Saccharomyces cerevisiae S288C: one gene and its partner. Each later gene encodes a partner of the first gene's protein in a complex. Each region holds a gene or a part of one and is shown on either strand. Other genes may lie near its edges. A codon is read from its position in the direction of its gene.

Region 1 (4,926 bases):
AATATATATATATATGTATATACGTATGTATGATTCATATTTTAATCGCATTTTTATTTCATCTAAAACAATTACTCTTTTTGATTATTTATAGAAAAAAAACAACAATGATACGTTTGCTTCGCGTTATGTCAATAGAAAATGTAAAAGGAAAAAGAATGTGTTGCTATTCGTTAGGCGGATTTACGGATGGAAGACATATCTATGAACTGAGCTTACAAACGCTTTTAGCGGGGACAGTTAATCATTTTACGGATGATTTTATAAGAATAAACTATTTTTGAAAAGTTAGGATAGTATTTTGTACATTTGGCACCGAAGTAATTCAAAATCGAGGAAGACTCGCACACTTTTACAATCACAGAAGGCAAAACCCGGCATGACAGGATGATAATGTCATCAACTATGTCGACAGAAGCCGCCTTGGTACCGAACGAAAGTGTTTTTGACACAGTTTCGTCATTCAACGAAGACGATGCCAATTATAGCGTTCTTGATTTATACGATGACGACGATGAAGGGGATGATAGTTCTACAGTAGAACGAAAAGAAATATTGACAACACGTGAGCTTGAAAAAGCAAAGGCGTTTACCAGCTTAATCATGGCAGATCCTGAGAATTTTGATAGATATGGATTTAGCAAGAAAGGATATTTCATTAGTCAGGAAGAATACGACAAATGGTGGACAGAATATAATAGATACACCGAAAGAAGAAAAAAAAAGTGGGAGAACTTTCTTCTTAAGAATAAGATTGAGCTCCACAATGATAATCCTCTAGTATATCCTGCAAGGACAGATGAATTGTCAAAATTTGTTAGAAAAGGTATACCAGCAGAATGGAGAGGGAATGCCTGGTGGTATTTTGCTGGTGGACAACGACAATTAGACGCAAATGTTGGCGTTTATGATAGACTGAAAAGTGACTGTCGCGAGGGTGCCGTATCTGGTAAAGATATGGAAGCTATAGAACGGGATCTTTATCGAACGTTTCCCGATAATATACATTTCCATAAGGAGTCCTTCCAAAATGGAGAGCCGGCGATCATCCGATCATTGCGTCGAGTATTAATGGCCTTTTCTGTTTATGACAAGACTATTGGATACTGCCAATCGATGAATTTTCTCGTTGGATTGCTATTATTGTTCATGGAAGAAGAGAAAGCATTTTGGATGCTGGTTATTATTACCGGTAAGTATTTACCTGGCGTGTATGAATCAGACTTAGAGGGTGCGAACGTGGATCAAGGGGTGTTGGTGTTATGTATCAAGGAATATTTACCCGAGATATGGTCACACATTGAGTCATCGTATATGAATGGCAATGGCAGCACTGACCAGATATCAGGGCCAGCATCGGGGGAAGAATATCTCTGCAGGCTGCCTACGCTGACGCTGTGTACGGCAAGTTGGTTTATGAGCTGTTTTGTGGGCGTGGTGCCCATCGAAACGACCCTGAGAATATGGGACTGTTTATTCTATGAAGAGTCTCATTTTTTATTTAAAGTGGCTTTGGGGATACTGAAATTGAGCGAAAGCGAGTTTTTGGAGAGTAAAAGCCAGAAACTGTTTAGACAGTACTCTTCGTACACCTTCGGTGGTAGTAATGACTCTGATTCAACTTTCAAAAGATTAAAGAACAAGATTAAGACGCAGGAAGAGGCAGATATGGAGATTTTGCAAGTGATTCAAAATTTCCCAAAAAGATTGCTCAATCCGAATGATATCTTTGAGAAAGTCCTGATGAAGAAGAAGGTTGCGTTGAATGGTATTACCCAGGAAAAGATTGATCGCGGTAGAGAGTATGTGGCGATGGCGAGAAATAGACAAAGGGCGAGTAGCCGCCCAAAGGAAAGAAGAAAATAGTAAGCGCAACCGTGATAAAAAGCGCAACTGTGTAAAATAACAAGTATGTACGTACTAACTATACTAATCTTATTTGGCCAGAGACCAGCCTTTTTGTAGACGCTCCATGACTTGCCTAACCGCAGCCTGATCGTTCTCGAAATTGTTCTTCAGAAGAGCCTCGATATCATCCCAGGGCACAGTGAGTTCCTGTGGAGGAGCAGGAGCAGGGGAGTTAGTGGATTTCTCGGCTTCGGGTTCCTTAGATATAGTCGGATTCGGCTTAATCATGACTGTGATTGTGGAATTGGCAGGCGTGACCTTCAAATCCGATAAGAACAGGTTATCGTGGAGGACTTTGCCCTTCAAAAGCAGTTTTATCTCGCTTATGTGGGAGGCCTTTTCCTCGCTGATCAAGTGCTGTTTTATTTGTAAGATAGTATCTGATGGGCTGAAATCATGCTCGATGGAGAACTTGGGAGCTTGAATTTTCTTTAAGGTTAAGTGGACGGCGGCGTTGTCTTGACCTTGCTGATCTTGGTGCAGTTTTAACTTCTTGGCACGATTCTGCTTATATTTATACTTCAAAGTAGGCAACGGGACACCCAAATTGGTAACATCCTTCAGAGGTTTAGTATAGCTTTTTGGTAGCTTCGGTTCAGTTAAAGTGGCTAAGGTCAAGAATTTACTAACGAACTCGTGTTCTGGACCGCTGGCGGATGTGCTCATGATTAATTTTGTATAAAGTTATTATTCTTCGCTAGTTTATCTCTGTATCGGTCTGTTCTAACCCTTTTCTCCAACTATGTTCTCCTGTGCATGTTTTCTTCTTTTCGTTTTTCCTTTGTTTTTTTTGGTCGTAGTTGTCGCAAGCTCGGCCTCCGGCCTGATTTTAAAACTATTCCTAATTCAAGATTCGGTAAAAAAGATATATAATAGCTAAGGGGAGGAGAGGAATAAGAGGAAAAAGTTACATTAGAGGACAATACTCAATCTAACCCTTACTAGATGTGCGATAGCCATCAAAAGGAAGAAGATAACGCAAATACGAGCGAAAGGGCGTTATTTTTTAATTACCATGAGTTTTCGTATTCATTCTACGAAGACCTCGGTTCCGAAGACGCTAAACCCACAGAGCACGACGAAGACCACAAATTGTGTATTACACATTTCCCGAATGTGTATGCTGCTCGGGGCTCTGCCGAGTTCCAGGTGACCCGGGTGGTACGAGTGCCCCGGCGGTTCGATGAGTCTCGCAGCAGCCTTGAAACGCCACAATTTAGTACACAGCTTCCCGGTAGCGAGCCGGCGGCAATCGTGGGCGACGATGGCACTAGCTTTGTGCGGTGCGGGCGTTACGACATTGGGGATCACGTGTTTGGCTGCTCCTCCGTCTCGCCTCTGTCAGAATATCTTAGTGCGGCAGAGCTCGCGGAGGTTGTGCACCGGGTAAACGGATTCTTGCTGCGTGAAGAAGGTGAGGTGTTCGGGTGGCGTAACTTAAGTGGCCTGTTGCTCGATATGCTTACGGGCGGTCTGTGGAGCTGGGTTTTGGGGCCCCTTCTTTCTAGACCTGTGTTTCAGGAGTCTCTCGCGTTAGAGCAGTACGTGGCGCAGCTAAACTCGCCGGGAGGTCTGCTTCACGAGCGCGGTGTGCGCCTAGTATTGCCCCGACGGTCCGGGTGCCTATCCCTAGATTTCGTCGTGCCCCGACCCAAATAGTTAAACGTGTGGTTTATGGGTGCACCAGGGCTTTATCGTGTTTTATATCGATGGCGATTTGTGCCTCCAGTGTATTTTTGTATATCCAATTAAGGTTTCTTACCTAATTTTATTTTTATCATCTTTAGTTAATGCTGGTTTGCTCTGTTTCTGCTGCTTTCTGTGCGGTTCTCCTCTTCTCTTGTTTCTTCGTGTTGTCCCCCATCGCCGATGGGCTTATATGGCGTATATATATAGAGCGAGTTTTTACGTCGAAGATCATCTCAGTTTGCTTGATAGCCTTTCTACTTTATTACTTTCGTTTTTAACCTCATTATACTTTAGTTTTCTTTGATCGGTTTTTTTCTCTGTATACTTAAAAGTTCAAATCAAAGAAACATACAAAACTACGTTTATATCAATTAATAATGTCTGAAATTCAAAACAAAGCTGAAACTGCCGCCCAAGATGTCCAACAAAAGTTGGAAGAAACCAAAGAATCTTTGCAAAACAAGGGCCAAGAAGTAAAGGAACAAGCTGAAGCTTCTATCGACAACCTAAAAAATGAAGCTACTCCAGAAGCTGAACAGGTGAAGAAGGAAGAACAAAACATTGCTGATGGTGTCGAACAAAAGAAGACCGAAGCTGCCAACAAAGTTGAAGAAACTAAGAAGCAAGCTTCCGCCGCCGTCAGTGAGAAGAAGGAAACCAAGAAGGAAGGCGGTTTCTTGAAGAAATTGAACCGTAAAATTGCTTCCATTTTCAACTAATCACACTTGAATGTGCTGCACTTTACTAGAAGTTTCTTTTTCTTTTTTTAAAAATAAAAAAAGAGGAGAAAAATGCTGTTTATTCTGACCTTTTACATAAATTTTTCTTAATTGTATCTATCTAATAACTAATCAATATAATAATAATAATACTAATAATAATAATAATAATAATAATAATAGTAGTAGTAGTAGTAGTAGTAATAATGATGATGATGATGATGATGGATGATCAAAAGCCACAAAAAAGAATGCTCCGAGAATAACCTCGGCGGTTATTTCACGTCCCGGAGGAAAAAAAGTTTGATAAGAAAGTAAAAATATGAGCGGTACGAGAATCGAACCCGTGTCCCCACCTTGGAAGGGTGGGATGATAACCACTACACTAACCGCCCGGGTTAATTGTTATTAGTTGGTGAAACTGATCTCAATCACTATAACATTATGGTCTCTTAATAGCAAAGGCCAACCAACTGACTTCTTGCAAACTGATGTTCAATTTTAGCTCTAAAATAAAACAATGTAAAAGAAAGATAAAATGACATAAAGCACTATCGCTTCAACGGCAAACAATATTGAAAAAGTATCACATTATAGTAAGTTGAACACT
Region 2 (3,392 bases), 540 kb from region 1:
TCTTCTGCACACAAGAAAAGATGGATTGTCCCCAAAGGTGGCGTTGAGAAAGACGAGCCTAATTACGAGACGACTGCCCAACGAGAAACTTGGGAGGAAGCTGGTTGCATAGGTAAAATTGTCGCCAATTTGGGTACAGTTGAAGACATGAGACCCCCTAAGGACTGGAACAAAGACATTAAGCAATTCGAGAACTCTCGAAAAGATTCAGAAGTAGCAAAGCACCCGCCAAGAACCGAATTTCATTTTTATGAATTAGAGATTGAAAATCTCCTTGATAAATTTCCGGAATGTCACAAAAGACATAGAAAGCTATACTCTTATACAGAAGCTAAACAAAACTTGATAGACGCCAAGAGGCCTGAATTGTTGGAGGCCCTTAATAGGTCTGCTATCATTAAAGACGACAAATAGCTAGCACATACATATATATGTATATACGTCATGGTCGTCAAGCCACCGCAAACATATTTATCTATTCCTTCGCAAATATGCTCTTTTCACTTCGATCCGCCCAGGAATCCCGACATCATGTCTTGTAGGAAATTCGTTTGTTTAGGAGCAACAATATTGAAATATTCCTGGCCCAAAAATTCTAACTCACTTTTGTAAGCTTGAGAAAAATCTAAATAATGGTTCTTTAAATTCAAGAAATAGCTCTTATCCTTAGTCTGACAGGTAATTAGCAACAATTGCAAAAAATTTAGGTCGGAATAATCTTCAAAAAAAACTATTTCATAACCATTTTTATCAATTTTCTCGTACTTGGGGTGAAATTTCTCAATAAATCTTTCCAAAAAAATGTCTTTTGATTCATGTGCAAATGATATGTTAGAGATGAATAAATAGTTGAAAACCAATCTGCTGAAGAACTCAGCCACCGTGCTATCTTCGATATCATCAACTTGGCATAACCAGTCCCATAGTAAATCGACATATTTGATCATTGAATCATGTGTACCTAACATAAAATATCTCTCAGCTTCATAAACGAAATCTCCCTCTAATAGTTTGCTACCAATGGTGTTGTGCAAGTAAGGATCTCCAAATTTGTATTCACTAAATTTGATAGACCAATTGTTCATACCAGTAATAACGTCCTTTAAATTGGGCTCGCTAGGATCCAATTCGGCTATTAATCTAACCAATCTAGCAACTGAGATGTCATCAACTTTAACTTCCGCTAAATCATAAACTTCTAAAAGATAGAAGATCAAATCCGTGCCTGAACCGCCCTGCTTCGCCTTTAAAAATGAAAGGGCCCCTTGACTAATTAGTTCTATGGCATGCTCGTATGATTTACTTCTAACATATCTATTAGCAATAGTTCTCAACGTTTGATGCGCTTCGTAATAATCTCCAGCTTTGATCTTATTTTCGAATCTTTGTAAGGTTTTAGCGAGTTTCGCTTGTACAGCATTAGATTCAGCAGGAACCATAGCTTGTTATTATTATTTATGTCCCTTTATGATGTTTACTTGGTTGTTTTACCGCACATGTTATTATTTCATTTTTTTGACTTTCCTTTCACTTTTTTTCCCATTGTTTGTTACCTTAACGAAGAGCGACAAAACGAACAAAATACTGAAAGGTGTATTTTGATGGTAAATAATTATTGACTTATTTCAACAAACGGGCTACTAACTCACTCGACGGTTGACATACTTTAGTCATGGCTGATAGACCTGCTATTCAGTTGATAGATGAAGAGAAGGAATTTCATCAAAGTGCATTACAATATTTTCAACAATGTATTGGAAATCGTGATGTTGGTCTAGATTACCATGTCATCTCAGTTTTCGGTTCTCAATCGAGTGGTAAATCGACTTTACTTAACGTCTTGTTTAACACCAACTTTGATACCATGGATGCTCAGGTGAAAAGGCAGCAGACTACTAAAGGCATTTGGTTGGCTCACACTAAACAGGTTAATACAACTATTGAAATCGATAATGATCGTCCAGATATTTTTGTGCTAGATGTTGAGGGCTCCGATGGTTCAGAAAGAGGTGAAGACCAAGATTTTGAGAGAAAAGCCGCTTTATTTGCCATTGCAGTATCTGAAGTTCTTATAGTTAATATGTGGGAGCAGCAAATTGGGCTATATCAAGGTAATAATATGGCTTTATTAAAAACAGTTTTTGAGGTCAACCTTTCCCTATTTGGCAAGAATGATAATGACCACAAGGTGCTGTTACTTTTTGTAATTAGAGATCATGTAGGTGTGACTCCACTCTCGAGTTTGAGTGATTCCGTTACGAGAGAATTGGAAAAAATATGGACAGAGTTAAGTAAACCTGCTGGTTGTGAGGGTTCTAGCCTGTATGATTATTTCGATTTAAAGTTTGTCGGGCTAGCTCATAAGTTGTTGCAAGAAGACAAATTTACCCAGGATGTCAAGAAATTAGGTGATTCGTTTGTGATGAAAGGTACGGAAAACTATTATTTCAAACCTCAATATCACCATAGGTTGCCATTAGATGGTTGGACTATGTACGCAGAAAATTGTTGGGATCAAATTGAACGTAACAAGGATTTAGATCTTCCAACTCAGCAAATTCTGGTTGCTAGATTTAAAACTGAAGAAATATCTAATGAAGCTCTAGAAGAGTTCATTTCAAAATATGATGAATCGATTGCTCCTTTAAAGGGTAACTTGGGATCTTTAACATCTCAGCTAGTGAAGCTAAAAGAAGAATGTCTGACAAAATATGATGAACAAGCATCGCGCTATGCAAGAAACGTTTATATGGAGAAACGAGAAGCTTTAAATACAAAGCTGAATTCACATATTTCAGGTACAATTAATGAGTTCTTGGAATCATTAATGGAAAAGTTATGGGACGATTTAAAATTGGAGGTGTCTTCTAGAGACAAAGCTACTACCTCTTTTGTAGAAAGTGTGGCGGCAGGTAAGAGTAAGATTGAGAAAGAATTTAACGAATCAATGGAGACCTTCAAAAAGTTAGGGCTACTAATATCAAACGAAGAGATTACCTGCAAATTTTCCGACGATATTGAAGAAAGAATCAAGCAACTACGTGATGCTGAATTGAAAGCAAAAATCGGTCGTATTAAAAAAAATCTGGTTCCCGAATTAAAGGATCATGTGATTCATTTACTATCACATCCATCCAAAAAGGTTTGGGATGATATAATGAACGATTTTGAATCTACTATCAAAGACAATATATCTGCGTATCAAGTGGAAAAAGATAAATATGATTTTAAAATTGGACTTTCAGAGAGCGAAAACGCGAAGATTTACAAAAATATTAGAATATTGGCGTGGAGAACCTTGGATACCACAGTACATGACTACCTGAAAATAGATACGATTGTTAGTATATTGAGAGACAGGTTTGAAGATGTATTCAGATATGATGCTGAAG

Evidence for each region. Proteins that work in one complex are often made in the same cells at the same time.
Region 2: the proteins of MDY2 (region 1) and GET4 are in contact, whole or in part, in a crystal structure (PDB 3LKU), measured with the Saccharomyces cerevisiae proteins. Residues at the interface, in NP_014530.1 of Saccharomyces cerevisiae: Thr3 (codon at 2,568), Ser6 (codon at 2,559), Glu9 (codon at 2,550), His10 (codon at 2,547), Phe12 (codon at 2,541), Val13 (codon at 2,538), Ser14 (codon at 2,535), Phe16 (codon at 2,529), Leu17 (codon at 2,526), Thr18 (codon at 2,523), Leu19 (codon at 2,520), Ala20 (codon at 2,517), Thr21 (codon at 2,514), Pro25 (codon at 2,502), Lys26 (codon at 2,499), Leu27 (codon at 2,496), Pro28 (codon at 2,493), Lys29 (codon at 2,490), Ser30 (codon at 2,487), Tyr31 (codon at 2,484), Thr32 (codon at 2,481), Lys33 (codon at 2,478), Leu35 (codon at 2,472), Lys36 (codon at 2,469), Val38 (codon at 2,463), Thr39 (codon at 2,460), Asn40 (codon at 2,457), Leu41 (codon at 2,454), Gly42 (codon at 2,451), Val43 (codon at 2,448); in NP_014807.3 of Saccharomyces cerevisiae: Glu128 (codon at 1,058), Tyr129 (codon at 1,055), Lys130 (codon at 1,052), Phe131 (codon at 1,049), Pro134 (codon at 1,040), Leu145 (codon at 1,007), Asp148 (codon at 998), Val150 (codon at 992), Tyr151 (codon at 989), Arg155 (codon at 977), Met158 (codon at 968), Leu159 (codon at 965), Gly160 (codon at 962), Trp175 (codon at 917), Gln178 (codon at 908), Val179 (codon at 905), Thr186 (codon at 884), Glu189 (codon at 875), Phe190 (codon at 872), Arg193 (codon at 863), Phe196 (codon at 854), Asn197 (codon at 851), Phe200 (codon at 842), Ile201 (codon at 839), Ser202 (codon at 836), Asn203 (codon at 833), Ile204 (codon at 830), Ser205 (codon at 827), His208 (codon at 818), Glu227 (codon at 761).

The regions. Positions count from the first base shown.
Region 1 is NC_001147.6:106,323-111,248, forward strand, and holds MDY2 (Mdy2p), read right to left. Parts: upstream 2,575-4,926; coding exon 1,936-2,574; downstream 1-1,935. Other genes in the region: Rab GTPase-activating protein MSB4, read left to right, coding at 388-1,866; SHR5 (Shr5p), read left to right, coding at 2,854-3,567; ZEO1 (Zeo1p), read left to right, coding at 3,975-4,316. UniProt on the Saccharomyces cerevisiae protein: Required for efficient mating. Involved in the production of alpha-factor, the KAR9 and TUB1 location to the shmoo tip and nuclear migration into pheromone-induced shmoos.
Region 2 is NC_001147.6:642,894-646,285, forward strand, and holds GET4 (protein GET4), read right to left. Parts: upstream 1,440-3,392; coding exon 501-1,439; downstream 1-500. Other genes in the region: polyphosphatase DDP1, read left to right, coding at 1-414; dynamin-like GTPase SEY1, read left to right, coding at 1,673-3,392. UniProt on the Saccharomyces cerevisiae protein: May play a role in insertion of tail-anchored proteins into the endoplasmic reticulum membrane.